Linked DNA regions of Mus musculus: regions 2, 3, 4, 5, 6 and 7 are each reported to be linked to region 1. The links are microRNA targets in miRTarBase. Many come from high-throughput screens and were not tested one by one. Region 1 holds a microRNA gene; each other region holds the end of a gene's coding sequence.
Evidence for each region. The annotated mature microRNA mmu-miR-3087-3p reads UAACUCACUGUCAUGUCCUCA and lies in region 1 at 2,688-2,708, shown strand. An mRNA with a match to its seed (bases 2 to 7 or 8) in the 3' UTR can be bound and repressed. Matches are read on the target gene's strand: a 7mer-m8 pairs with bases 2 to 8, a 7mer-A1 pairs with bases 2 to 7 and ends in A, and an 8mer does both.

Region 2: miRTarBase lists Abhd15 as a target of mmu-miR-3087-3p. Seed matches in the 3' UTR shown: 7mer-m8 at 2,003-2,009.
Region 3: the mRNA of Mrpl45 is a reported target of mmu-miR-3087-3p. Seed matches in the 3' UTR shown: 7mer-m8 at 375-381.
Region 4: miRTarBase lists Bckdk as a target of mmu-miR-3087-3p. Seed matches in the 3' UTR shown: 7mer-m8 at 2,186-2,192.
Region 5: the mRNA of Ppp1r7 is a reported target of mmu-miR-3087-3p. Seed matches in the 3' UTR shown: 7mer-m8 at 1,318-1,324.
Region 6: miRTarBase lists Fbxl3 as a target of mmu-miR-3087-3p. Seed matches in the 3' UTR shown: 7mer-m8 at 1,215-1,221.
Region 7: miRTarBase lists Krr1 as a target of mmu-miR-3087-3p. Seed matches in the 3' UTR shown: 7mer-m8 at 472-478.

Annotation. Positions count from the first base shown.
Region 1 is chr2:25,440,126-25,444,191 of GRCm38, forward strand. Mir3087 (microRNA 3087) reads left to right here and starts at 2,654; the gene lies at 2,654-2,709. It overlaps Abca2 (ATP-binding cassette, sub-family A (ABC1), member 2), which reads left to right. Exons shown (of 49, transcript NM_001368624.1): 23 at 400-596; 24 at 685-867; 25 at 1,063-1,247; 26 at 1,354-1,474; 27 at 1,750-1,986; 28 at 2,066-2,272; 29 at 2,525-2,627; 30 at 2,710-3,029; 31 at 3,104-3,317; 32 at 3,404-3,509; 33 at 3,601-3,712; 34 at 3,802-3,862; 35 at 3,945-4,066.
Region 2 is chr11:77,518,569-77,522,634 of GRCm38, forward strand. Abhd15 (abhydrolase domain containing 15) reads left to right here. Exons shown (of 2, transcript NM_026185.4): 2 at 1-2,060. The coding sequence ends at 273. Among named protein-coding and RNA genes, the nearest start is that of Abhd15, 5.5 kb to the left of the region's middle.
Region 3 is chr11:97,328,281-97,332,346 of GRCm38, forward strand. It overlaps Mrpl45 (mitochondrial ribosomal protein L45), which reads left to right. Exons shown (of 8, transcript NM_025927.4): 8 at 202-1,640. The coding sequence ends at 288. Gpr179 (G protein-coupled receptor 179) reads right to left here. Exons shown (of 12, transcript NM_001081220.2): 12 at 3,830-4,066. Among named protein-coding and RNA genes, the nearest start is that of Mrpl45, 15 kb to the left of the region's middle.
Region 4 is chr7:127,907,739-127,911,804 of GRCm38, reverse strand. It overlaps Bckdk (branched chain ketoacid dehydrogenase kinase), which reads right to left. Exons shown (of 12, transcript NM_009739.3): 11 at 3,726-3,884; 12 at 2,141-3,638. The coding sequence ends at 3,494. Among named protein-coding and RNA genes, the nearest start is that of Kat8, 2.7 kb to the left of the region's middle.
Region 5 is chr1:93,364,747-93,368,812 of GRCm38, reverse strand. It overlaps Ppp1r7 (protein phosphatase 1, regulatory subunit 7), which reads right to left. Exons shown (of 10, transcript NM_023200.3): 10 at 1,197-3,923. The coding sequence ends at 3,747. Among named protein-coding and RNA genes, the nearest start is that of Gm26446, 3.5 kb to the right of the region's middle.
Region 6 is chr14:103,079,590-103,083,655 of GRCm38, forward strand. It overlaps Fbxl3 (F-box and leucine-rich repeat protein 3), which reads right to left. Exons shown (of 5, transcript NM_015822.3): 5 at 650-3,921. The coding sequence ends at 3,278. Among named protein-coding and RNA genes, the nearest start is that of Cln5, 11 kb to the left of the region's middle.
Region 7 is chr10:111,984,048-111,988,113 of GRCm38, reverse strand. Krr1 (KRR1, small subunit (SSU) processome component, homolog (yeast)) reads right to left here. Exons shown (of 10, transcript NM_178610.4): 10 at 1-3,575. The coding sequence ends at 3,433. It overlaps Glipr1 (GLI pathogenesis-related 1 (glioma)), which reads left to right. Exons shown (of 6, transcript NM_028608.3): 4 at 1,440-1,525; 5 at 2,310-2,336; 6 at 2,432-2,666. The coding sequence ends at 2,586. Among named protein-coding and RNA genes, the nearest start is that of Glipr1, 11 kb to the left of the region's middle.

The DNA of each region.
Region 1 (4,066 bases):
AATGTCTGGGAAGGGAAGCTTATTGGCTAAGCCCTCTGGGCCTCTAGATGTCTCATTAGTGTGGAGAGCTCTGTTTTGGTCCTACTATGTGGCCACAGGACACATTTCTTTTATGTGAGAAGCATGGCAGGTATTCCAAGTCAGGAGTCTGGCAGAGAGCAGGGAGTTGCCTAAATCTCCGGTGACTGCCCACCTACTCTCCCGGGTCTCAACCGGTTCTACCCACCAAACTTCCTGGCATGGTTTTACGTCCCACAAGGGCATGAGCAGAGGGAGGTGCTGTGGATGCTCATGTGGAATTCAGGGGGAGGGGTGAGGACATGGGGAGATGAGGGCTCTCCCCAGTCAGCCTTCCAGCCTTGGTCTCCCCCTCCCATCCCCTTCCTGTCGGGCCCACAGGATGATTGAGGACCTGGAACTCTCTAACAAGCGGCACTCACTGGTGCAGACGTTGTCTGGAGGCATGAAGCGCAAGCTTTCGGTAGCCATTGCCTTTGTGGGTGGCTCTAGAGCCATTATCTTAGACGAGCCCACGGCTGGCGTGGACCCCTATGCTCGCCGTGCCATCTGGGACCTCATTCTGAAGTACAAGCCGGGTGAGCAGGCTAGCGGGCTGGCCGTGGCGGGGGTGGTGTCTCGGCCTGCCCTGTCTGTTCACTTACCTTGGTGTTTGGCCTACCCCAGGCCGCACTATCCTCCTGTCTACCCATCACATGGATGAGGCTGACCTGCTGGGGGATCGCATTGCCATCATCTCCCATGGGAAGCTCAAATGCTGTGGCTCTCCCCTCTTCCTCAAGGGAGCCTATGGCGATGGGTACCGCCTCACATTGGTCAAGCAGCCTGCAGAACCTGGCACCTCCCAAGGTCTGTGCTGAGACTACTTGAACCAGCCTCTGGTCCTCCGTACCCCATGATTCCTTACCTAGGAGAGGTGCAACCTCACCCTCACTTCATGGGGACTTGGGACACCTCTAAGCCTCATCTCGACTTGCTTGCCCACTAAGGCCCCTTCTTCCTCAGCCTCTCACGCATCCCCTTCTGCTCCCCCTTCCTTCCCAGAGCCAGGGCTGGCTTCCAGCCCCTCAGGTTGTCCTCGGCTGAGCAGCTGCTCGGAGCCGCAAGTGTCCCAGTTCATCCGCAAGCATGTGGCTTCCTCCCTGCTGGTCTCAGACACGAGCACCGAGCTCTCCTACATCCTGCCCAGCGAGGCCGTCAAGAAGGGGGCCTTCGAGCGCCTCTTTCAGGTGTGTGGGGCTGGCTGTGGTGGCTAGGGACACGAGGGGCCCGGAGAGAAGAAGGACACGTCGCTGCCTGCGTTCCGTGGCGCTGCCTTACCCGATCTCTTTGCAGCAACTGGAACACAGCCTGGATGCGCTCCATCTGAGCAGTTTTGGGCTGATGGACACAACTCTGGAGGAGGTGTTCCTCAAGGTGTCTGAAGAAGATCAGTCACTGGAGAACAGCGAGGCTGGTAAGAGCACCCAAGGCTGGCGGTCTGTCCAGCTACCCACAGAAGGCCCTGGGGACACTGCTTCTCTGTAAGTCTCTGGAAGTGGGGTCAGGATAGGCTCGTGGTGGATGGTATGGTAGCTCTGCCTACCTGTGAGTAGGTATGTGAATTAGAGGCTGGGATCAAGGCAGGGCCTGGGGTTATGGGAGGACACTAGGGACTGAGGTACTAAGATGTCCTGGAGAGGAGAGCCTTGGCCCAAGCCTTCCCTCCCTCACCGCCTCTGTTGTTTGCAGATGTGAAGGAGTCCCGGAAGGATGTGCTGCCTGGGGCAGAGGGCCTGACAGCTGTGGGGGGTCAAGCTGGCAACCTGGCTCGGTGCTCAGAGCTGGCACAGTCACAGGCATCGCTGCAGTCTGCATCCTCTGTGGGCTCTGCCCGTGGGGAGGAGGGCACCGGCTACTCTGATGGCTACGGTGACTACCGTCCCCTCTTTGACAACTTGCAGGACCCAGACAATGTCAGCTTACAAGGTGGAAGCCAATGGGGAAACTGGGGAGGGTCCAGAAGGGTGGCGTGGGACTGGCTATTTACCTCTGCCTCTCTGCACAGAGGCAGAGATGGAGGCCCTGGCTCAGGTGGGCCAGGGCAGCCGCAAACTCGAGGGCTGGTGGCTGAAGATGCGGCAGTTCCATGGGCTCCTGGTGAAGCGCTTCCACTGTGCTCGTCGGAACTCCAAAGCTCTCTGCTCTCAGATTCTGCTGCCTGCCTTCTTTGTCTGTGTGGCCATGACTGTGGCGTTGTCTGTCCCTGAGATTGGTAAGGGTGCCTGGCCCATGTGGTCTGGGGCGAGGCTACTGTCTTGCCCCTGGGTCTTGGCTTCATTTTTCTCCCAGCCCCCTGTAGAACAGTCCTGAGCTCCTCTCCTCACACTCTGAACCTTACTCAGGGGCTCATGAGAGGATCTGTCTCCTTAGGAGTCATCCCCACAAGCTCAGCCCTCTCTGTGTTAGGGCTGGGGCTGGCATCAGATAACTGCAGTCTGCTCAGGTCTCCGTATTCACCCATCAGGTGACCTACCTCCACTGGTCCTGTCACCCTCTCAGTACCACAACTACACCCAGCCCCGTGGCAACTTTATCCCTTATGCCAATGAGGAACGCCAGGAGTACCGGTGAGGCCGTGGGCTGGGGCTGTAGCACAGGGCAGGGCAAGAGTTGAGACTTATGGCTCCTAACTCACTGTCATGTCCTCAGATTACGGCTGTCACCTGATGCCAGCCCCCAGCAGCTGGTGAGCACATTCCGGCTGCCCTCTGGTGTGGGTGCCACTTGTGTGCTCAAGTCTCCTGCCAACGGCTCCCTGGGACCCATGCTGAACTTAAGCAGTGGAGAGTCCCGCCTGCTGGCGGCACGGTTCTTCGACAGTATGTGCCTGGAGTCCTTCACACAGGGGCTGCCACTGTCCAACTTCGTGCCACCTCCGCCCTCACCCGCCCCTTCTGACTCACCCGTGTCCCCAGATGAGGATTCACTGCAAGCCTGGAACATGTCCCTGCCACCTACTGCTGGGCCAGGTACTACCTCAGGGAAGGCTCCGGGGGGCACAGGCATGAGTGACCCATCTCATTGTGCTGCACTGTGCCCACAGAGACGTGGACGTCGGCGCCTTCTCTGCCACGCCTAGTGCATGAGCCAGTCCGCTGTACCTGCTCTGCACAGGGCACGGGGTTCTCATGCCCCAGCAGTGTGGGTGGACACCCACCCCAGATGAGAGTGGTCACAGGTGACATCCTGACTGACATCACTGGCCACAATGTTTCTGAGTACCTGCTCTTCACCTCTGACCGTTTCCGACTACACCGGTAAGTTGGCCTGAAGTGGCTGTGAACAAGGGGTGCCTGGCAGATGGCTGCCGAGCCTCAGTGACCCTCCCACCTGTCTTGTACAGATATGGAGCCATCACCTTTGGTAATGTTCAGAAGTCTATCCCAGCATCCTTTGGTGCCCGGGTCCCTCCTATGGTGCGGAAGATTGCAGTGCGGAGGGTGGCTCAGGTAGGCGGCTGCCCTTGGGTTTTGGGCACCTGGTCCTAAGCCTAATAACTTTTGGTTTCTGAGCCTCTCTGAGGTCCTTGCCCCTCCCCAGGTGCTCTACAATAACAAGGGCTACCACAGCATGCCCACCTACCTCAACAGCCTCAACAATGCCATTCTGCGTGCAAACCTACCCAAAAGCAAGGGCAATCCAGCAGCCTATGGTAAGGAGAATCAGGGTTGAAGGACAGGCAGGGATGCAGCTGAGCCGAATGGTTGCATGGACCTAAAGCTACCCTTTTCCCGTGTGCAGGCATCACCGTCACCAACCACCCCATGAACAAGACCAGTGCTAGCCTCTCCCTGGATTACCTGTGAGTGAGGCAGACCAAGTTGAGGAGGGGCAGGACCACCTCGTCCTGACACCTCCTGGAACTGAGTGCTGTCCCCTTCTAGACTGCAGGGCACAGATGTGGTCATCGCCATCTTCATCATTGTGGCCATGTCCTTCGTGCCAGCCAGCTTTGTGGTCTTCCTTGTGGCAGAGAAATCCACCAAGGCCAAACACCTGCAGTTCG
Region 2 (4,066 bases), not on the chromosome of region 1:
CCGTACTTCTTCCTGCTGCTCAGTCACCATGGAGGCCACTGTGGCTTCCTGCGCCCTGAACCCTTGCCAGCATGGAGCCACGAGGTCATCTTGGAGTCCTTCAGGGCCCTGACTGAATTCTTCCGAATGGAAGAGAGAATGAAAGGGCTGAGCAGGCGCAGGACTTCATTTTTAGGGGGCCGGCGTCGCTGGGGAGGCCTGCAGAAGCGAGAGGTTTCCCCTTCTTCCAATCTGGAGGAGATTTTCAACTGGAAGCGTTCATACACCAGGTGAGGCTCGCCTGGGGAAGCCCCTTGGACTTGTGAGAAAGACCCCCACAAGGTATCACAGCGAGGGGGGGCCTCTGTGTTCCTCTCTTGCTAACTGGAGAAAGAACTTCACCCTGTGCTACGCTACCTTGAGAAGAGTTGCCCTGGCTCTAAGAAACATTGCTCAGCCCTGGGCCACTATTTCCTGTCATCAAAGTCCCAAGCAGAATAGCAGCCCTGGCGAAGTCCATAGACCAGAGAGAAATTCCGGCTCACCCAGCTGGGAGTCCAGGCAGGATGAACTTGTGAGAGTCAATGGGTGGTTCTGTCCCACATAAATATCATCTTGGTGACTCTATGTCTCGAGCTGGAGCCACTTGGTACAGAAAGGACAGGATGTTTGTGTCTCTGTCCCATTTCCCTCATGTGCTCTGCGGTTGTGGTTCTGCTCTGACTTGCATATCAGCAGCTGGGGAAGCAGGCTGTCGGTTGCCTAGCTCTCCCCTGGCTGAGAAGCCAGCAGAGGCAGGAGATGCTGGGCTGAGGCCAGGGTGGAAAGAGCTAGCAAGGGTAGAATGTGTGTGTCTGTCCCTGCCTCTCATGGTAGATGGAAGCTCTGATCTAGGCCAGGCTCTCAAGCTGGTACAGCTCATCTCCTAAAAGTTATTTTAGGAGTAAGAGGTGCTATTGCCCAGGGTCTAAGGGTTCCGTTAGGTCATGGTTGTGGTAGCCAGGTTAGGCCAGATACACACACACCTTCAGTTCTGATCCTGGAGCTTCCTCCAGAGAGCCGCAGCCAGCCAGATGCGTTCCTCCTGAAGGGTGGGCTTTCTCACAGTCAGTGGGAAGGGTGGCAACCGTCACAATAGTCTCTGATCAGTTTTCTTCTGGTACTAGCTTCTTCTCCCTTTCCACAGCCAGGCAAGAGGTCTGGGAGCGGAGCGGAGAAAACCCGAGGGCTTAGTGAAGGCAATCCAACTATTTCTGAGTGTCTCACATTACAGCTTTGTCTGCTCAATTATTCAAAAGACAGAAGCCTGTTTTCCGAATCTGTTCACTCAGCCACTAAGTGGGCATTTGGTTTTGAGGAAGAATGCTGAAGGCCCAAGAACAATAAGCCATAGCTCCCAGGATGACTTACATGGCTTGGGTTGGATTAAGCCTTTACAAATCATTTTGATAGCTGGACATGGAGATCCGTGTGTTGTTAAGATTCAAAAATCTACCCTGAAGTTTTGTTTGTTATTTATTCATGGTGCCTGGGCCTCACTCACTAGGCAAACAAAACACTCTACCGCTGAGCTATACATCCAGTCCATAAAGTTATTTTTCAGTTTATCAGTGGGAAAGAAGTCACCTGTTTCTGACTTAAGGCAGCAAAACAGTTCGACAGAGACTCTCACAGCCAAGGACAAGGATAGCACCCAGGTATACTGGGACTTCCATCCCAGGGGTGGATAATCTGGTCCTCTCCAGTTTGGGGGTTGGTTGGTTGTTTGGGAGTTTTGCTTTGTTTTCTGCCTGGCCTGGAACTCACTATATAGCCCAGGCTGCCCTCAAGTACAGAGCTCCATCAGAGTACTGGAATTAAAGGCTTGTGCTAGCTATCCCACTGAGCCTTCTAATCTTGTTCTTTTAGATTAAGTAAGAATCAATGAACCTAGCCGGGCAGTGATGGCTCATGCCTTTAATCCCAGCACTAGGGAGGCAGAAGCAGGTGGAATTCTGAGTTCGAGGCCAGCCTTGTCTACAAAGTGAGTTCCAGGACAGCCAGGGGAACACAGAGAAACCCTGTCTCGAAAAAACAAAAACAAAAACAAAAAAAAAAGCAAAACAAAACAAAAAATCAATGAAGTAACTCCAGGATATAATCATCCAATCATCTCAGGCACATATCCTATTGTGAAAGAGGCTTTTTCCCCCTCTTCTCCACTTCTGGCCCCTCCCCCACACCCTCTTGTGGCATTCTTTCCTCCTTTCTGAGCAAGAGAAATGAAAAGGAACTGAATTCTAAAGAGGAAGCTCCCCTGTCGCTGGTGAACCACAGCCAAGGGTGGAAGGCTTGGGTGGGGGATGGCTGGCATATGGCCACCCACCCCTACCCCCACATCTGAGACAGTAGGGATTTCAGTTAATTAGGGTCCTGCTGTTCCGTATGTTATTGGATCCCTCAGAAATAATGGTAAGATGGGAAAAGTAGTAGTTCAACCCTAAAGCTTAAAGTGTCTCTAATGACAAAACTCTGGGTAATTTTTCTAGATCAGCTACTACAGGATCCATTTCTTCTAGAGAACACTTTTGTGAGAAAGCCTGGCTGGGTTTTTCTTTCTTTCCTTTCCTTTTTTTTTTTTTTTTTTTTTTTTTTTTTAGAAAAGCAAGCTTACTAGGGAAGGGAGCACACAGACTTTATAGTAACTATTTTCTTCTTTTTTTGTGGAGCTGATGGTTAAACCCAGAGCCTTGCACAGATCAGACAGTCCTTTACCACAGAGCTCCACCCTCTACCCTGACATAGTTCTTGTAGTCCTCAGAGAAACGGCAGAGGAACTCTTGTTGAGGTTCTTTGGGCCCCAAGTCCCACTGATTTAACCCAAAACATTCCCCTTCCTGCTCTTTACATGGGCTATTTTCAGGGAGGGACTTATTTTTTGAGATGGCATCTCACAATAGAACATTGGCTGTCCTGCAACGCACTAGATAGACAAGACTGATCTCAGACTCACAGAAATCCCCCTGCTTCTGAATACTGGGATTAAAAGTACATACCACCATGTCCAGCGTAGGTGATTTACAAAAAGAAAACTCTGTCCATTACTATGAGGCTGGGGTAAAAGCTGAAAACACCGAGCTCAGCTGTTAGGGTACTTACACAGCATTCACGAGGCCCTGGACTTGGTCCTTAGCACTGCACGAGCCAGTGTGAGGTGCACACTTATAAACCTAAGAGGTAGACGCAGGACCTTCAGAAGTTCAAGGTCTGGAGGAGCTAGAGAAAGCACCCAAGGAGCTGAAGGGATCTGCAACCCTATAGGTGGAACAACAATATGAACTAACCAGTACCCCTAGAGCTCGTGTCTCTAGCTGCATATGTAGCAGAAGATGGCCTAGTCGGCCATCACTGGGAAGAGAGGCCCCTTGGTCTTGCAAACTTTATATGCCCTAGTACAGAGGAATGCCAGGGCCAAGAAGTGGGAGTGCGTGGGTAGGGGAGCAGGGCGGGGGGGAGGGTACAGGGAACTTTCGGGATAGCATTTGAAATGTAAATAAAGAAAATATTTAATAAAAAAGGAAAAAAAAAGACATTCAAGATCATCTTCTGCTACATATTGAGCTTGAGGTCAGCAAGCGCAACTTGAGTGAGACCTTACCTCAAAACAAAAAAAGCAAATCACACACACACACACACACAGTAGGGTAAAGTGTCATCTTTGCCAGAAAGTGTGGTTTCTGTTGAAGCTGGAAGGGTTTGGGTGACCCTGCCCTTCATCCAGATTGGGTCACTTCGGGTAAACAGTTAATTGTGTGAAACCTAGGAGGAGACCCAGGCACCCTCACTCCCTGAGAAAGCATGGTTCTTTGAACAAGCTTTGCAAAAAACAAGCTCTGAGTTTGAGGAAGCAACAATGAAACAAATCCCAAGAAACGCCGTTGACTCTGCATGGTATCCTGTCGCCCTGATCCTCCTGGTCCTCCTTCCTTCCCACCAACCCGTTGGTCTCTTCATTTCTCACAAGCCCCTTCGAAGGGTACAGGAAGATGAGCATGGGGAAGCAAAGACTTCAGGAGACGGAGTCGGGACTGAGCAGAGTGCTGTGCTT
Region 3 (4,066 bases), not on the chromosome of region 1:
CTCTAAGAGCAAACTTGAAGCTGTATGTAGATAGCCTTGTCAAGCTCAAACGCTCTTCTTAGGCTCCACCTAGTGGCGAGACGGAGTGATGCAGCTCTAGGGAAGGGGAACTTTCCCTGGATGCTGCTGCGGGAGGAGGACATCCTGGGTAAACAGTAGGTGGGATTGGTAGGTAACTTGAGTTCCTCCTGTTCTTTTCAGACCTTGATGATTCCTGGTCCTCAGCTGAAACCCTGGGAGGAGTACGAAGAGACTCAAGGGGAGGCCCAGAAGCCTCAGCTAGCCTGATGGCGTTAATGACTCCTGAGGAGCCTAGCAGTTGTGGTGAACATCTTTAATCCCAGCACTCAGAAGGCAGAGGCAGGTGGATTTCTGTGAGTTCAAGGCCAGTCTGGTCTACAGAGCAAGTTGCAGGACAACCAGAGCTACACAGAGAAACCCTGTCTCAGGAAAAAAAAACAAAAAGAAAAAAGACAAAAAGACTCCTGAGGTGTTCCGATGGGGCTGCAAAGTCACCTGTACCCACCTGTACCCCGAAGGCTTCCCGTGCTGTCTCCTGTCCTGCCTGGGTCAGCAGTCCCCCAAGCCCCTCACAGTCATGGCTGATTGTGTGGCCAGGTGGTGGCTGGGGTGCCCCGCCTTGGAGCATCTTCTGTTTACAGCCATGTTCAGCTTCTGAGGTGAAATGAGAAGCAGCAGCAGAGAGAACAAACGCGACACTGGGCTTTTCCCAGCAGCAGCAAGCTGTGGCATCAGACCCACAGCTTTCTTTTTTCTAATTATAGGCCGAGTCAGCATTTGGAATAAAATACTGTCAAAGAGTTGGATAAACTGTGTGTTCTGTACATTTTCCCTGGTTCAGACTGGGACGGAGCGGTTCTGTGATGTCAGGCATGGGAAAGCAGTATAGTTATAAGTGATGCGGCTTCCAGGAACTCTAGATGGGAAGACCTTAGAGTGTCTACAAACTAGGGCACCCTGCTACAGTCCTGCCACGTGGGAAGTTGGGGCAAGAAGAGGACCAGGAACTAGATGCCATCCTTGGCAACACACAGTTTAAAAGTCACTTAATCTTATATGCCTGAGTGTTCTGTCTGCACCTGTGTTTATGTACTACACGCATGGCTGGTGCCCTTGGAGGTCCAAAGAGGGTGTCAGATCCCCTGGAACTAGAGTTACGGATGGTTGTGAACCACCACAGGTGCTAGGAACTGGATCTGTGTCTTCTGCAAGAGCAACAGGTATTCTTTTTTTTTTTTTTGAGATGTATTTATTTTATGTGTGTGAGTGCACCGTCACTGTCTTCAGACACACCAGAAGAGGATCCCATTACAGATGGTTGTGAGCCACCATGTGGTTCCTGGGACTTGAACTCGGGACCTTTGGAAGAGCAGTCAGTGTTCTTACCCACTGAGCCATCTCCAACCTGTAACAAGTATTCTTAGCTACTGAGCCATCTTTCCATCCCAGAATACTACTTTAAAAGATCTCTTTAATATAGATGTTTTAATTTTTTTTTCTTCAGGTTTCTCTGTGTAACATCCCTGTAACTTGCTTTGTATACCAGGCTAGCCTCCCTTATAGAGATCTGCCTCCCATCCTCCCTCCCCCTTTGCCTGAGATTAAAGGAGTGCTACACCATACCCAGCTTAAAATTACTTTATCTTATTTTATATATAAATCAAAGTGGGGGGGATTGGTCTTTAGCTTCCCCACTCCCACCCCTGCCACAGACAGAGTTTCTCTGTGTAATAGCCCTCTGTCCTGGACCAGGCTGGCCTTGAACTGAGGAATCTGCTTGCCTCTGCCTCTTGAGTGCTGGAAGTAAAGGTGTGCACTAACAAGCCTGACCGTTCTTCAGCTTTTATGTATTCTGTTTTGTTTGAGAGAAGGCCTGAAATTTGATAAATGTAGCCCAGGCTTGCCTTAAACATGCAGTGATCCTTCTCATGGAAGGTATGAACTACCATGCCCAGCCTGCATTTTATTTTTAGGTATTGGACTTGTCCCCGCCCAGCTAGACTAGACTACCAAGGAAGAGTACCAGCACTCAGGCAGAGGCAGGTGGATCTATGGGTTCAAGGCTGACCTAGTCTACATGAGGAGTTCCAGGAGAGCCAGGGCTATAGAGTGAGTTTTTTTTTTAAGATTTATTTATTTAATGTATGAGTGCTCTAACTGCATGTACATCTGTGTGTCAGAAGAGGGCATCAGATCCCATTACAGATGGTTGTGAGCCACCATGTGGTTGTTGGGAAATAAGCTCAGAACCTCTAGAAGAACAGCCAGTGCTCTTAACCACTGAGCCATCTCTCCAGCCCAGTGAGATCCTATCTTAAAGAGAAAAGAACACTGTAGGAAGTTTAGGAGGAAGCAAGGACAAGCCAGGGTTCATTCTTAGGGGGAAATCAGTAAGATTCGGTTCTGATTTCTTGTACCTCACAAAGATGCTGGCTATGCCTTCCAGCCCAGGACCAGAGTGCAAGCCAGCGTGCAGTGCAGCAGCCCAGTCCTTGTTCTGCTGGGGCTGCTTGGAGAAGAGGGTCAGGGGTTGATGCTCAGTGTCCTGGGAGATCTGGGCATGACAAGGGGAATCTTACTTTTCCAGCCACAGGCTTGCTTCATAGTGCTTTTGAGTTCTTGTTTAAAAACGGCCTGCTGGAGATACAGCTTAGTAGGTAGAGTGGTTTGGTTTGGTTTGGTTTGGTTTGGTTTCTGTGTGTATGAGGCTCTAGGTTCAACAACACAGGAGAAATGAGAGCCTAAGTTCTCATACTTAATTTTTCTCCAGACTAAAATTTTCTTTGTCACTTCAGGTCAGAGTTAGTCTGTCTAGAGTAGGGTAAAAGAAGCAGGAGTTGGGTCAGAAATAAATGACCTGTCGTTTTTCCAAACCTGCCTTCTCAGAGAAGCTGCAAACAGGAGAGGCCTTAGTGGGGGATGTTATCATCCATTCATCAATGTTATTATTTATCATTTATTTATTTATTTATTAAATGTGCAGGAGTGTTTGAGTGTGAATGTGTGCACGAGCCAACTTTCAGACCGAGGTCAGAGGACAGATTTTGCCTTCTAGTGTGGATTCTAGGAACTGAATTTTTGTTAAGTTGGCACCACAGATAGTTTTACCCATTGAGCAACCTTCCTGGCCCAAGCCTGGTGTTTTCATAACAGCGTGTGTGTGTGTGTGTGTGTGTGTGTCTATTCTGAGGCAGCCAGTCTCACCCTGTTTAGTCTCAACCCTCCAGGCTTAAAATGTGCATCACTTTGCAGCATTACTGTCCAAGTGAGGCTTGGACACATCCTATTTGCCTGAGCCCTGGATTAAGGCAAAATAAGAAGCGCTTTGAGCTGGATCCATAGCCGGGGAGTAAGAAGGAAGGCAGTTAATCCCAGCAGGGAAGAGAAGCAGAGAAACAAAAGAGCTCACTCAATAGGTACATGGTAACATTGATTTCTCTTGAATGTATGAAAAACAGTGATTTAGATGAGCTCTTTCATCCCATGGCCATGGATCTGACTCTGGGTCTCTGGATGGTCCTAAATCTCTGCTAAGCAATAGCTGCCACCAGGAAGCCAAAGGATAAGTGCAATTTCATTTCCTCTGGGACCAAATCCAGTTGAGCAAATGGGCCCAGATGTGAAGGGTTGGCCTGGAGAGCAAGGCAGAGAGCATCTGTTAGCACGGCAGAGAATAAGCTGGACCTACCGCACCCCAAGTCCTATCAGGTACAGGGAGCAGGCCTTGGAGCAGGCACTGCTCTGTCTGCTGTCCCTCTGTTGACAAAGAAAACCACCAGTATCAATAAGCTGGAGCCGACCACAGGAGCCGAGAACAAGCATTCTTTATTATTTTCCTAGGTGGCTATTTATAACAGTAATACGGGGATAACGATGCTCGTCCCAGCTAGAACAGACCCAGTGGGATTGCTCTAGGGTGCACAGTTAGTGAAGTCTACCATAGCTCAGAAGCTGTGGGGTTAAGTAACCACAGCCGCAGAACAATACAGCTGTAGAAACCCAGCGCAGGAGAGCTGGGTAGGTAGGAGGGCTTAGTGTGGGAATG
Region 4 (4,066 bases), not on the chromosome of region 1:
AAATCTGCCTGCCCCTGCCTCCCATGTGCTGGAATTAAAGGCCTGCACCACCACTGCCCGGCAACTTCTTTTCTCTTAAGAATTTCATGTAGCGGGGCTGGAGAGATGGCTCAGCAGTTAAGAGCACTGACTGCTCTTATGAAGGTCCCGAGTTAAGACCCCATGGTGGCTCACAACCATCCATAACAAGATGTGACACCCTCTTCTGGAGTGTCTAAAAACAGCTACAGTGTACATGTATTTACATATAATAAATAAATAAATCTTTGAAAAACAAAAACAAAAAACCTCGAGCGTGGCCAGGGAGAACCTTGAGTGGTTGTCTAACCTCCACCTTTCAAATGTTGAGGTTAGGATGGCACCACACCAGGTTCATGCACTGCTAGAGATTGTACCCGAAGCTTCATTAATGTTAGGCAAACACTACCACTGAACATCTCCAGCCAAGAAGGGTTTGAGCAGGGAGACAGTGCCTGGAGAATCTGTAGTGACACTCCTCCAAGTACAGAATACCAATTCTCTGAGACTCAGTAAAGGTTAAACCATATATACATATGGTTAAGTCATAGCTTTATATAAGCTATATAGCAGCATTCAAGGTAAACTTATTGGTAGATGAATTGGAGTAACACATGTCTAATTTGCTGTTTAACTTCACCTTTCTACACACACACACACACACACACACACACACACACACGTGTTTTCCTTAATTACTGTATTGGGGCACCGGACACCTTTAATAGCTTGCCCAGTGCATACTACTTTAGGAACTGCGTTGTGGGCGAACTAGTCGATGAAAAGAAGCAGCACTGTAAGACCTTTGTTTTTTAGGGATGATAATGCCAGCCAGTTCCTCCTTAGCTGGCTTACTGGAATAAAGCTCCTTTTCTCACGCTCTATTGTTGAGACTGACTGGCTCCTGCCACATGGTTTTACGTACCCAGCATGCACTGGTAACTTTTACAGTAGCACACAACAGTGTGTTGAGTCAGAGTAGGGCTGGATAAACATCTCATTTAGACATTCTCTGAAAGTTCTTTGATTCATAATTTGGTGATCAGTTTTCATAAGGTTTCTTTTTTTTTTTTTTTTTTTTTTTTGGTTTTTCGAGACAGGGCTCCTCTGTATAACCCTGGCTGTCCTGGAACTCACTCTGTAGACCAGGCTGGCCTCGAACTCAGAAATCTGCCTGCCTCTGCCTTCCGAGTGCTGGGATTAAAGGTGTGTGCCACCATGCCCGGCTTTCGTAACAGTTCTTGAGAGGGGCAGCTTGAGGTCAGAACTCAGACACTATGGTCCAAGAAATATCTGACCGTTGTGTATCTATGTGAGATGGCATTGGGAATAGAATAGATCCTTTTGTGTGTGGCACTGAGGGAAAGCTGGCTGGATGATTCGGCATGCACTGCTCTTGTCGACAATCTCAGCTCTGCTTCCACAGCAAGCAGCTCACTACTGCCTGTAACTCCAGCTCTAGGGGATTCGAAACCCCTCTGGACTCCACAGGCCATCTACAGCAATGAGCACAAACCCACAGGTAGACACACATACAAAAAATAAGAGAGAAGGCACTAGGAAAAACTGGTTACTTTGCTGTTGGGCAGTAAAGAAGTTCAGAGCAGGATAATACCAGGTGCCCGGCACCCTAAGAATGAGAAGATACAACCAAAGGACACCTCCCACTCTAGCCCTCTTCAGGATCATTACAGCTTTTGCCCAGGCTTCTACCTCACTTGACACTTCACCTGACATCTTCAGATGATGTCCTTCCTAAGTAAGGACTAGCCTAGGCATAGTAAATACACCATGCTGTCCCCATGCCAGGGCCAACCATGATTAACATGTAAATCCAACTGTTTTTTCCAGAACTTGGGGGCTGTGCTGAGACACCCTCTACTTACTGTTATTGTGTTTATGAGTATGAACCTACATGTGTGCAGGTGAGAAGACTTGGCAGGACTCACGTAGTCCTCTCCTGCGATAAACTCTAGGAGATACCTTAGTGGCAGGTGCCTTTACTGCCGAACCATGTCGCTGGGCCCGGATGCTTTTTGTTGCTTCTGATGCTGTATCTGTGTTGTTGCTCTCTGTGGTTAACCTGTACTTTCATTCCTTTTTTTTTTTTTTTTTTTTTTTTGGTTTTTCGAGACAGGGTTTCTCTGTATAGTCCTGGCTGTCCTGGAACTCACTCTGTAGATCAGGCTGGCCTTGAACTCAGAAATCCGCCTGCCTCTGCCTCCCAAGTGCTGGGATTAAAGGCGTGTGCCACCACCCCCGGTCTGTATGTACATTCAAAGACTAGAACATGAGGCTCTTCTCTGACAACTACCCGTTAAGACAGGGTTTTGCCAAGCAGCCCAGGTTGGCCTTGAACTCGTGATACTCCTATGTAAGCATCACTAGTACTAGGACCACAAGTGTGTACATTTGATTCTACCTGGAAAGGCTAAAGTTTTCAGTGTAGGAATTTCTTCCATCCCAGCGTCAAGTGAGGGAACTGGTTACCATGGAGCCTCACTCTCTTATGTGTACCTGAGGGACAGTGGACTAGCTCTGGACTTCTCATTACAAGTCATTTCCTTGACCTCTCCCCTTTCCTTTCCTGCTTCTCCTACTCCCTTTTGGGAGTCCTACCAAGCAGGTCCGTAGGTCTTACACAGCGGGGAGAGTTACTCTTGGTTCAAAGTTCACCTAAAGTTCTGTTCCACACACTTCTGGTCACCGTGCTTTCTGCCCAAGTCCCTGGTCCTCCCTAAGACAACTTCTCCGTATCTGTCTGAGGTAATCAGGTCTCTGCATAACCTCATGCAATTCTTTTTGCAGCCACAGTGGGCAGGCAGTATTTTTAACCTCATGCAAGCTCAGGAATCAGGTGGCTTACAGACTGCCCAGTCTAGTGACCTTTACCTCTCAAACCCACGGCTGCCAGGAAGGGAAGAGTCGGGCCTGAAGCTAAGTCTTTTGGGGCCTCTGATAGCGTCTGGGGCCCAGAAAGACTTGTTCAATGAGCCCAAGTTGCCAAAGTCACTCTCACTCTTGCCAAATCAAATAGGCAAGAACCTTGAAATCACTTCTGCCACAGTGCCAGGACAGCCAGAGACTGGACATGACCAGGTTAACTCCCAAGGCCTAGGGAATCCAAAGGGGGCAGAAACAAAGCTCGCCTGCCCTCCCAACATTTGGGGCCCAAGAGGGCATTCAAAAATGCAAACTTTAATAAGCAGCAGGTCAAATGAGGAGTCCTCAAGAATGAGCAGAGCAGAGCTGGTATCAGAGGCCTCAGAGGCACCTGCTTCCTCCCCCCAAGGCCGGGAGGTAGAAAGCAGTGAGCCCTGCTGAGGAGGAGTGGTGCCCAGCTCCATCTAAGTCCACCTGTCTGAGGCCCTAAGCTCCATAAAGCGAAGTGGCAGTCTGTGGAGCCCAGCGGCCCCCTGCCAGGCCTAGGAGGTCCTCCGAGGAGTGTGGCAGGCTAGCCGGCCAAAATCCACCATTAGATTCTGAAGCTTTCCTCCCGACCATCAATGTGGCGGAGCCGTAGGTAGACATCCGTGCCAATGCCCTGCAGGGACTGCAGCTGCAGGGAGCCACCAAGATACTCTGCATATGCCCTGGACGTGGGCAACCCGAAGCCAAAGCTGGGAGCAGGGGATAGGATAGGGGTGTCAGAGGCCTGCGAGTCCTGGTTTACCCCTTCCCCCCATATTGGGAAGGTGGGGCCTTACCCATGCATAGGTCCTGACTGGCCACCACTGTGCATATCCAGGTGGCCGAAGAGGGGGTTGATTCGGGGGTCCTGGGTGCTGGCCTCAGCTGTGGTGAAGTGGTAGTCCATGACCCGATCCAGGTCCTTATGAGCGATTCCTCCACCCCGGTCTGAGATCCTGGCAGGATGTCAAGAACATGGACTTGGTCAGGTCTAATAGGTCTCACCCTAAGCATACAGTGCTGGGTCTATTCCTATTGTCTCTAAAGGTGGAATGTGACTTTATCATCTTCTACACTCACATCTGCCTGGGCCGCAGACTGCTTCTACTGTCCCATACAATTTGACATTAACTTTTAC
Region 5 (4,066 bases), not on the chromosome of region 1:
GAGGTTAGAGGTCAACTCCTGGGAATTGGTTCTCTCCTCTCACTACGTGGATCTCAGAGATAGAACTCTGATCAGCAGGACTGGTGGCCAGTGCCTTTCCCCTTTAAGCTATCTGGATGGCCTGACCTTTTTTATTGGACTGTAGATACTCCATACATTAGATCACTATCTTTCACACATAGGTTAACTTCTACTTTACCGATTGTTTTTAATGTGGCTTTTGGTAAGAGGGACCCGTTTTCTTAATGATGGCTCTTTAGTTAGGTAGCTAATACTTCCCATTGCTTTTTCTTCCTTAGGGAGGAAGTCAATATAATTTCTATCCAAGTGTTCCCATCCTTCATCAGTTACTTCACCTACATAACAGATCTGTTGCCTGCCTGCTGGAAACATTCCTTGTATCAATATCTTATTTGCTTTCAGTTTTTACTGCTAGTATTGATACAGTTTGCTTTATTTTTCACATTTCAGCATCTCTGTACTGAGCATATGGTCCACGCTAAAGCTAGGTCTAACGGCACAACTAATTAGCAGGGTTTCCTGAGAGTTCATAAAGTACCAGTATCTTACAATTCATGGTGTTCAGATCTGATGAAATGCAGCATGGTGGCTTAGTTGTGTGTGCCCTCATGCATGCATTGTGGTGTGTGTGTGTCTGTTACTTCTGGATGCAATGTAACCGGGGGCTTACACATTTGACTATTTGGTCCTCAGCTGGTGGTGCTATTTTGGAAGGTTGTAGAACCTTTGAGGCATAGAACCTAGCTGGAAGTGGGTCACTGAGAGGCAATCCCTAGATGTTAGTTCCCACTGTTGCAGTGGGAAGCTACTCCCGCTGGCACTACATCCACTGAGCCATGAGCCAGACTAAATCCTTCTTCTTGGTTCCTCAAGGTATTCTATCACAGTGACAATAAAAAATAACAACAGCGTGTAACCCAATGGAGAGACTGCCTTCACCATCACTAACCCCCTAGCCCCTGGCAAGGGTATCAGGGCCTTCATATGCTAAGCACACACTTTACCACTGAACTGGGTTCTTCTTCTAGAATGATGCATAGTACTGCAACCTTACTCAAAAGCCAAGCTCAGTTTTTACGTGGGAGATGGGGATTTGAATTCAGGTTCTCAGGTTTGCAGAGCAGGAGTTCTTACCCACTGGCTTTTCTCCACAGCTCAAGTCTATCAGATTCTACAACCTTTAAGACATCTTTTTATTTATAAAGAAATAAAAATCCAGGAATACAGAACTGATGGGATGGTTTAACAGGGAAATTGCTTGCTGCATAAGCCTGACAACCTAAGTTCAATTCCCAGAACTCACATGAAGGAGAACCAACTCTACAAATCTGCCCTTTGAGGTTCACATGCTGTGCCACAGCACACGTGTGCCCACAACCACATTCAGACATCATGCATAGTGCTAATGACAATAATGCTTTTTCCTTGAAAAGAAATCCAGGAATATATACAATTGAATCTTTATAACATTAATTGGTATTTTTTTCTTTTACTGCACTAAGTGGTGATTTATGTAAATTCTGGTTCTGCTTACTTTTCTTCCCCTTATTAGGAATTGAACCCAGGGTCCTCTACAAGCTAGGCAGGTATTCTATTCTTCAGCTATCCTCGCAGCCCCATTGTTACTCTTTGAAAGGGTTTCATTACGTTGCCCAGGCTGGCCTCAATTTCACCCTGTTGCTAAGGCATGCTTTAACTTTTCATCCTCTTCCCTCAGCCTCCTGAGTGGCTGGTATTACAGGCCTGCACCCCGGCCAGTCCTGTCTGCTCTTAAACCATCCCTGCATTTATTCCTGAGATAAAACCTTCTTGGTGAAGAATCAGTAGTCTTTGATTTGCTGATCTTTGATTTCAGACCTTTGCATTTATGTTCTTATGTAAAAGCAGTGTTTTTACTTCTGTACTGTATTTGTTAAGATTTTTAGGGGTGCCAGGTGGTGGTAGCGCATGCCTTTAATCCCAGCACTTGGGAGGCAGAGGCAGGCGGATTTCTGAGTTCGAGGCCAGCCTGGTCTACAGAGTGAGTTCCAGGACAGCCAGGGCTACACAGAGAAACCCTGTATGGAAAAAAACCAAACCAAACCAACCAACCAAGCAGACGACTTTTAGGGGCATTTTCTATTATCACAACTGGGACTCAGCCAGTGCTAGATTCTGGAAATTCTTCCTGGGACCTAGACCTGTTTTAAGGAATAATTTTTTGGCATTTTTTCCTAACTCCAGAATTCCAATTCATTTGGAGACATTTCCCCCAACTGAATGCTGCAGGGACCTCCTTGAGATGGCACTGGGGTTTTGATGCCTGTTCTCCCACTCCATTACTTCTCTCTCTACACTCTGTAGAAGCCACGTGCACGTGTGTAGGGCTCCTGTGAGTGACTGCAGCAGGCACACCTACATTTCAGTCCTGTGGGTCTAAGATGTTTTTCTCTTATTCTGACGTGAATGGTGCTTGGAACGATTCCAGGGTTACAGCACAGTGTTCTCTGGGCTGCACCTTGCTGCACCCAGTGTTCCTTGCTAAGAGCTTATTTCTTGTCAGGGAGATGGTGCACAGATTGAGATCACACAGTTTCTTGTTAAACCTCATGTAGCCATTCTGACATTGCGAACTCCTGGGCAGTTGGCCTACTGGTTAGCTTGGACACCTGGGCACATGCTTCTCAGTTCAGAGCAAGCTATTTCACTAATACTAAACAGTCTAGAGCAGCATTTTCCAGAACCTTCTGGGATGATAGGAATGGATACCTTCCATGATATGTGGCCTCTGAGCAGATAAAGTGTGAGCACAGATGAAGAGATGAATAAATCCAATGGATTAGATATGAATAGCAATTGCTACATGTGGCAGTTAGTGGCCCCATCTGGGACAGCGTAGAACTAGAACCCTGGAAGCTCAGGGGCCTTTGGTGACCACAGTTAGTTCTCACTGTGTGAAAGAGGAAGTCGGAGGCGTGGGGAGGACAGTGCTCTTGCAGCATTAGACTTACACCCTGGGAGTTTGCTCATAGAAACTTCATCTAAATAAGGCCAGAGGACGTGGGTGAGAACAGGAGCCATGACCAGTGCCCAGTGGCCAAGAGTTCAGGGGTGGACGTTTCTGATAATCACTTAGGTTTAACATAGCTGGGTGATAGGGAGCGAAGCTCTCCATATTCCAGCTTTTACCAAGTGGGAATAAGGGCACAGAGTGCCCAGTGTGCTGTGCTCAGCCGTCGCTCATGTTGGAAGGGCACTGAGGATTACAGCTTCAGACATTGGGCCATCTTTTACTCAAAAAAAAATTAAATATAATCTTTTCTTTTTTAAAATTTGCAAGGAAAATTTTTTTCTTTCCAAAATTGGTCTGAAAGACTATCCAGTGTGCTCTTGTGAGTCATGACTACTTAAACCAACTTGAAGGTCTGCTGGGGCAGCCCAGAATGCCCACCAAGGTAAGGACATAGACGGATTGGAAGAGCAAATGACTGCAACAAGGCCTGCATTCTCTCCATGGCTACAATAACTTTCATCAATTCACCAGGAAGACCGCGTGGCAAGATTTAATAGTGTTGGCATCTCCAAATGGTGTGTAGCATCACAGGCCAGGTGCCACCAGTGCCTTATTATTGCCATTGGGTTGTGACTGTTGGTATAGTGACGACATCAGGAGCAATAGGTAGATTAAAAAACCGTGGCTGGGAAGTTCTTTTGAGGAGAGGGACCAGGTGAGGAGCAAGGAGGGCTCAGAACCTGACGTATGTGGCGTCGATCTGCCGCACAGAGGGTAAGGCCAGCATGACCTTCCGCCGGTATTGTGGATCCTTCTGCAGGGGGTTGCGCTCCAGGTACACGGTCTCCAGACTCCTGGCACCCTTCAGCTCATCAAGGTCACTCCAGCTCTCCAGTAGATTGTCATTCATCTGAAGGAACACATGTGGAAAAAGCCATCAGTGATCAGTTCTGGTCCCCTATGTCCCAGGGTCCCCAGATATGAGACAGGAGTCATTAAAACCATCTATAGTCTTTCTTATGCCAACCCCTCACTTCCTGGCTGCCTTTTAGC
Region 6 (4,066 bases), not on the chromosome of region 1:
TCAGTAACCTCCCACCAGCAGTTCATTAGAGCATCTCTAATTAAACATAGTGGATCCCAGGGGGTGGGGGCATGAAAGTAGAAGGGAGTTTGGCAGAGTGGATGGCAGAGTAAGGGAGAGTGAAAATAACCCAAAACACATTACATAGAAAGTGTTTAATAAAAACAGTACATCTTCAGTTTCCCTAAGGTGTGCTATGTCTAGTGGTACTGAGCCTAGGGGTGTGTGTGTGTGTGTGTGTGTGTGTGTGTGTGCGTGCACACACTCTCCTCTCTCGCTCACACACACACGGAAGGGAAGAGTTCTCCCATTGAACCATTATATTCCACGATCATTTTTAACTCTGTGAAGCAAAGTTAGCCTTCAAAATAGCTTTAAAGTCTGTTCCATCACACCCGGCTGACTTTTGAAAAGAAACACATTTTTACCCTTTCATGGTCTTCCAAGTGCCTCCAAGAGTTTCTTCCTTGTTGGAACTATTTAGGTATTTGCATTTTGGCGAGCTGATCATTAATTCTAAGGATAAGCTTTTACTCTCTGAGAAAATGCTTTTTTTCCTTAAAGCAGAGGTTAAGGCCGGCAAAAGGTCATACTTTTCTTACTTTTTGCTAACATTGCATCAAATATAAACAAGTTTTGCAAACAGTTTGCAGTAACTTATTTATTGTTTAGCAAGGCCTATTACAACAAATTGGATGTTTCCTGAAACCTATTTAAGATAAATTAATTTCTATTGTTTTAAAACTATTCTAATACAGATTTCTAATATGGCTTGCTAGGTTAAAGATTTCTAATAAAAGCTTGCTTAGGAAACTCTAAGAATGGTTTTTAAAACATATGTATCCTTCTGTTTTAATTATGCGTGGGTGTCTAGGTATGTGTATGCAAATGAGTGCAGGTGCCATGGATGTCAAAGGCAACAGATCTGCTGGGACTGCAGTTACAAGCAGTCCCGGAAGGACGTGCAACTGAAAACTGCCAAGAGTGTTCACCAGCTTAGCCTGAGCATCTCCTCAACTCTTGGGGTTCATTCTGAATACATAAAGAACCTATGCCTTATTTCTAATCATAAAAGAATTTACATTTCATGGTAAGTTTCACAGGTATTAGAGCATCAGAACAGAATTAATGTGCCTAGTTTTGTATCTTCAAGCTACTTTTTTTTTTTTGGTTTTTCGAGACAGGATTTCTCTGTATAGTCTTGGCTGTCCTGGAACTCACTTTGTAGACCAGGCTGGCCTCAAACTCAGAAATCCGCCTGTCTCTGCCTCCCAAGTGCTGGGATTAAAGGCGTGCGCCACCACCGCCCGGCCATAGCTACTTTTTAAAAGACTAAAAATCCTCCGGTGTTTAAAAGACTACCAAATAATAGCTCTGAAACTAAAGTCATAGCTTTGTAATGTATGTTTGATTAGTTCTCTAAAGTTATAAAAATACAACCACATTAGTAACTATCTTTATTCTCAAATTCATAAAACCATTTAACATATATTTTACAGTATAAACAAATTAAGTGCTATGCATTTTGCTTATAAAGTGACTTAAAGTATTCAAGCATATAATTCAATTTGTACAAAAGTTTTCAAATAAAGCTTTGGTTAGTAAAACTGACTATATACCATCAACTCCATTTTTCAATGTTGTTCAAAAAAATTAAAAAGAAAAACAAAACACAAAACAGCACAAGTATTTCCTGTACAGTCAAAGCTTCTTACTGTTTAAGAGTGAAATATTCTAATAGTTGCCTTTAGTGTGGAGCTCTGGGTCGGTCTTTTCCTTCTCATCCCTACGTGCCTGAAAGAACACCACCACTCTTGAAAAGCATGCACTGTGTGGACAGCCATTCTGTTTTAGTCTCAGTAAGTTTATCTATTTTTAAGACTGTTAGCTTCCATAATTATCAAGGTACTTTGTAAAAGTCCCACTACTACTGAAGAGCCATTTCAGGCTCTGAAGCATCCTGTGGGGTAAGTCACTACTAACTTCTCTCAGGAGAGACATCTGTTAGCACTAGTGCCCAGAATCCAAGCTCATACAGGATCTAAAAAAATGAAAACCAAAAACCCAAAACTATAATATAACCAAAACTTAGTATTTTTATATTCTACAAAGACTAGAATTTACCTTTATTCATATTAAAGTAATATGAAAAGCTACATAACTTAATATAAAATACCAGTTTCAACCAAACTGACAATCACAAAACTATAGATATTTTCCTATTAAAATGTTCCAGTTCACTGAGTAATATTTATGCAAATCATTATGAAATATATCTTCTTTTAAATTTAGTGTTTCTAAACTGTACAGATGCTCTTTGATTTTTAAAGTTGTATTTATTGTAGCTATGTAATTCCAAACTTAAAGCATGAGCCATCACTAAAGTTCACTGGAGACTAATATCCTTTCATGAAACTGTTCATAAACAATTTATAAAGTTCTACTTTTAATTATTTCAATTTGGTTTTTAAGTAAAATTTTAATTTAAATAATTACTAATAGTTTAAATAAAGACTTAGAGAGAGCAAAGCATTCCTTTACACACGATGCCTCAGGCACCACAGACATTAGTAATATAACAAAAGAGAATGCATGTGTTTAGCATATCACACAAGAAACCTAGAGTTACACAAGGCTGAGTGCTACCTCTCCTACTCCACGGATCTCTCCAGATTGGATCCTGGCTCTGTGTGCCCTCCTTAACAGCCACTTCAACATTCATCAACGTTCTAAGTACTTTGATAGTTATATCTTTATTTTTAAAACAGCTTCATAACGTTTGAAAACATTCAACCAAGGTCTTACGAGCACTATCATACATTTCTCTCACAAAATGCTCACTTTCCTGAGCTATGTTAAACACCTTATAACAGGTGTATTTATAACTGAAGACCCTAAAATGTCAAGTTTACATTTTTTTAAAAAATGCATAGAGAACATTTCAGAAAACCTATTAGTACATTTCTGAGATATTACAATATACAGGTTGCTTCCTTCAGACTGAATTATCTCAATTTCATAATTGGATATTACTTTCAAATATGAAACCACATTTTTAATTTTTAAACATATGATTGCTATTAGGCTACAAAAAAGGAGTTATCTGAACCAAACTATAAGTCTTCTGACAAACATCATTCATAGCTCAAAGATATCAAATTTCTGTGCCACAGAACAGTAGCATTGTATCAGCTTTAGAGCAGATAAACTTTTAGTTAGAATACGTTTCTTGAATGAAGGTACTACTCACTCATTATGTCCTGTGTCATGCAGTCCCTTACCAAGTAGGCATCATGTCTGGGAACCATACCCTGCCAAGATGCTTAGACACTTCCCAATGAATTTGTTCCAAACTATACTTTTGGTCAGGAATTAACACTTCTTCCATAATGGATAACTGAGACAGGCGGCCCCCACACATCTTCACAAACTCAACAAAGGCACTACATGAGACTTCACATTCCCCCAGCCCAATAGCTGACAAATTTTTGCAACGTTCCGCAATGCGAATTAACTCTTCATCAAGAGGCCGCAACCCATTGGCACACACTACCAGTTCCACTAGTCTCGGGCAGGTCATGCCCACACGGCCAAGCACATCTTTGCTGACTGATCTCCCAAAGTAAAGATGCGTAGCAGGTATTTCATAACGAAAGAATGGGTCAAATTCCTCTTCGTATAAAAAAAAATACATCACTAGGTTGACTTTCGGTGAGTGTTTGATGAAGGCATCCCAGCTGCTCTTCTGGATAGTGTGGAAGTGTGTCTGTCCCGGGTTCTCACTGACAACATCAATGCGCAAATGTTCTAAGCGAACATGCTTTTCAGAAGACAGTGCGAGCAACAACTCATCACTTAGCAAATGGTAGTTCAGGGCCAGTTCTCGTAAGCCATGACACTGGTCAGCCACACACAGAATGCCTGGGGGGGGGGGGGGGGAACAAAGCCCAATTATTTATAAATTATTTTAAAATTTATCTGTTCAACTGTTTAATCAAGTGCATGTCCTAGAAAATAGCCACATTATATAATGCAATTTTAAAAATTCAGTTGTGATAATGAATTA
Region 7 (4,066 bases), not on the chromosome of region 1:
ATGTTATTTCAGTTTTTCCTGTTTCTTGAGAGTTGTTTGTGTCCTAATATGTGGTCAGTTTCAGTGTGTGGATGGGGGATACTCTATAAACATGTTCTAACCCATGACTCCAGGGCTCTCAGAACAGGGGAGTTAAGCTTCGGCCCTGAGTGTGCCCAGTGTTCTTTGGGCACTGCCACCTTAGGCCATCCCCTTGGGGACCTTTGCTCATATTCTGTGTCTTCCCTCTTTCCCAGGCTCCCAACCCTCTCACGCCCCGCCCCCTCACAGGGTTTCTAGAACAAATTCAAAACTATTCTGCTTGATTCGGCAGAGCACAGTAAAGTCTCTCTGTCTTAAGGAAATTCACCCAAACCAGCCCAGGTCTTCCTTGTTTCATGTTTGCCCCAAAACAAATCTACCAATTTTTTTTTTTTTTTTTTTTTTGGTTTTTCGAGACAGGGCTTCTCTGTGTAGCCCTGGCTGTCCTAGAACTCACTCTGTAGACCAGGCTGGCCTCGAACTCAGAAATCCACCTGCCTCTGCCTCCCAAGTGCTGGGATTAAAGGTGTGCGCCACCACCGCCTGGCCAAATCTACCAATTTTAAGTGACATTTTCCCCCTTCTCTTTTAGTGTGGAATGGACAATTAAAAAAATAAGATAATAGTGATTTAATCACAACCATTCTACAACTTAGGCTGCTTATGGAGTGTTGTGCTTTTTAACAATGAAAGACACTATACTATATTTCATTCCCGGCCCTACATGCATGCATGTATGAACATTTATACATATGTATGTATGTATGTATATGCCTGTATCTTCTACTGTCTTTTGGTTTCAGAGTAAGTTGCTTTTTGGGGGTTGGGGCTAGGGAATGTGGTACATTGATAGAACATTTGCCTAGCATGGATGAAACTAAGTTATCCTCAAAGGATGCATAGGAAAAAGTCCAAACATGTTAAAGAGATCAATTACTGAGTTCTCTCTATCCCTAAGATATTTGATTAGATAATAGTTATCAGTTATTATCACATTTACATACAAATAAGTTTTTCCTAATTTTCTTTTTTCTTCTGGAGGTCATTACCCCAGCCGAACGGTGTATCTAGTAAAATCCACGATGGCCTGGTACACAGAAAACACCTACAAAGTGTAATAGCCTTTCTAGGATAGGCAGTGTATGGGTGGAAGTTATCACATATGCAATGGGTTAAGTAGAAAGAGCCCAACATAAGACATTTCTAGATTTTTTTTCTTTCCTGGTTCACTCATATAAACTGACATCTTGGCAAATTATTAATCTCTAAGATCTTTAGTTTCCTTACCTGTTTAACAGAAACAAAAATAATTCCTCCTTAAGACTCCTCATAAATGTGACAGTATAAATTAAAGTTCATAAACACAGGATTCACGTGACACTCATTGGCCCCTGTACTAACGGTCTTCTGCTTTCCAGAGGAAATTACCCAACGTGGCCATATAAGCAAGGAGCCACGTGCAGTGATTGCCCAAAAGATGACAAGTGTCTCAACAGTCTCTGCAGTAAGTACGATAATAAAAACTTTCCATAAAATTAAGGTATGAGCATGTGTTTTGAGCTGGCCGTGGTAAGACCCAGAAGCCAGCTCAACATACTAGGCACAAAGAAAGGATGCATGGGCAGAAGTTTGGAGCTAATGCTCCAGACCTGGGGGTCTTGTGTCTCTCCACACTGGTAGGTAAGCCACACTAGGCAGAGCTGAGGCCGCAGGGAAAGTTTAACAGACTGCCCTTAAGAAGTCTGATTTTTCCACAGTGTGAAGGGAGCAAAAGCGACTGCAGCTCTGCCAATCCCATGGTTCTTTGCTGCCACCTCTGTAGCAGCCTGGCTCACAGAAGCCAGGCTGGGTAGGGCTGCTTAGAAGGGAGGGGGAGACATCATCTGATAAGCCAGATACCCGGCTGAGACTTTGGTGTCCTGCTGGGTTGGATGAGAAACTGCTACCTCCTTCATCATAAACAAACTACTTTAATTAAAAGAAATACTTTAATTGCATTATTTACAAATCATATTTTAATCTTTAGTTTCAACCATAGCTCAAAACCAGATTCATCTGGTAGTTGTGGCATGTTTTTTTTCAATCATCCTGGTAATATGTCTTTTGTACAAAAATTTACATATCAAGTTCATATAAAAAGACTGAAAAATATCTTATTGATACTGCAGCCAAAACTGGACTGATCTTTGAAAATCATTGTACTTAAAGCCAAATCAAGGTCACGGTTGTAAAGAATTAGAAACACAGCTTCCCCTACACCTAACTTTTTCTTAATTCTGGTTTTACAGTTAACCCACGACGAGACCAGGTCTCACGTATGTATGCAAACCTTAAGCTGTTTTCCCGGGGCACTATGCAGGCTGGGTTAGCACAGCATGGGAAACTGAGTCCACTCTTCTTCGTTTCACAGGTTACTACTCTGTCGATTATCCAGACTGGCCTATATACCTGCGTAACAGATACACATCTCTCTTTCTCATTGCTAAGTCGGTTCTCCTATTACTGTCTGTTATAATTACCATCTGGGTAAAGCACAAATATCCTAACTTGGTTCTTTTGGACTAAAGCTGTGGTTGGGGGACAACTGAATCACATGCGGCTATTTAAAAACTTTTCAATAAAATCTCAGTCAAAAGAATTTCTTCTAAGTCTACAGAGTTAACTTGTCTTTCGGCATTACGAATACAGACTGACCAGGTTGCCATAGCAAGGACTGCAGCGAGTAACGCACGCCCAGGAAATCTCAGATTTCCAGATCTGTAATACTCATGTTGATAATTCTAAATCCAATTGCCCTCAAGAATTCTTGCTGCTCTTGCAAAGCCCAGTGTCTGATATCCAGTCCCCACACTGTCTCACTACCACCTACACCTCTAGTTCCAGTGGAGTCTATGCCCTCCTCTGGCCTCAGTGGGAGAAGGGACCCACATGCTTACTGCAGGGTAAGATACCCATATACATTTTCCTGGTACCATTTCCTCACTCAGAACAGTGACAGATTTGATTTAGAGGCCTTGGATTTTCTGTTGTTGTTTTTTAAATCCTGGAGTAAAATAATAAAAGAAATTAAGTGGAAATTTTGCACGTATTTTCCTCAAAACCAAATGTTCTGAGTATTATGAAGACCAACCAATGGCAACAAACATTGGATTTGATGACTCATTCCAAAAATCTATATAATTTAAAATAACAGATATTCCTAAAACAGCTAGGCAAAACTTGCCTGGAACCAGTTGGGCACAATGTACACGTAGGCATCTACCTCCTACGTATTTATATTTACAGAGCATACGGCCACAAACAGAAGGAAACTGGTCATGATTTCCTGAGTCTGACTCAGCTAAAACCTTCGCATCTCAAAATCCTTTACAAAAGGAAACACCTTAGAAAGTTCGGGATTTTTTCCCAATGCTACTTTTTTCTCTTCTGCTTCTTTTCGTCAGCCTCCATCTTGAGCTTAACTTCCTCCGCTGTAAGAGCGCCCAGTTTCTTCGTCTTTGCTTTCTTAACCTTTTCCTTGATAGCAGCCACATCAATCTTAGTTTCGGTAGAAGCTGCAGAAGTTTAAAACAGACACAAATGTCATATTATATTTTTAAAGGTCATCTATGAAACAGAGACATCTAAAAACAGTTGGTCCCTCCAGTTGAGCACAACCATACAGATGAAACCCCATGTTGGTCCCTCCAGTTGAGTACAACCATGCAGATGAAACCCCATGGCTGACAGCATACTTAATTCAGTCACAGTCAAACTCATTCTTTACACGTCACGTGATTTGTACACATTACAAACAATTTTGTACTTTGGAACTTTATTCATTAGGAAGCCAATTTTCCATACTCCACACAAAGCATTTTAAAATTATATTTCATGAAAAATAAATATAGAGAGATCCCTTCAGTAACTCTAACAAGGCTTATCAAATTAAGCTAGAAGTATTTTAACATGATTTTGTTAGTAAAAACTGTAATAAACTGTGACAGCATTTAGTGGTCTTTTTTTTTTTGGTTTTTCGAGACAGGGTTTCTCTGTGTAGTCCTAG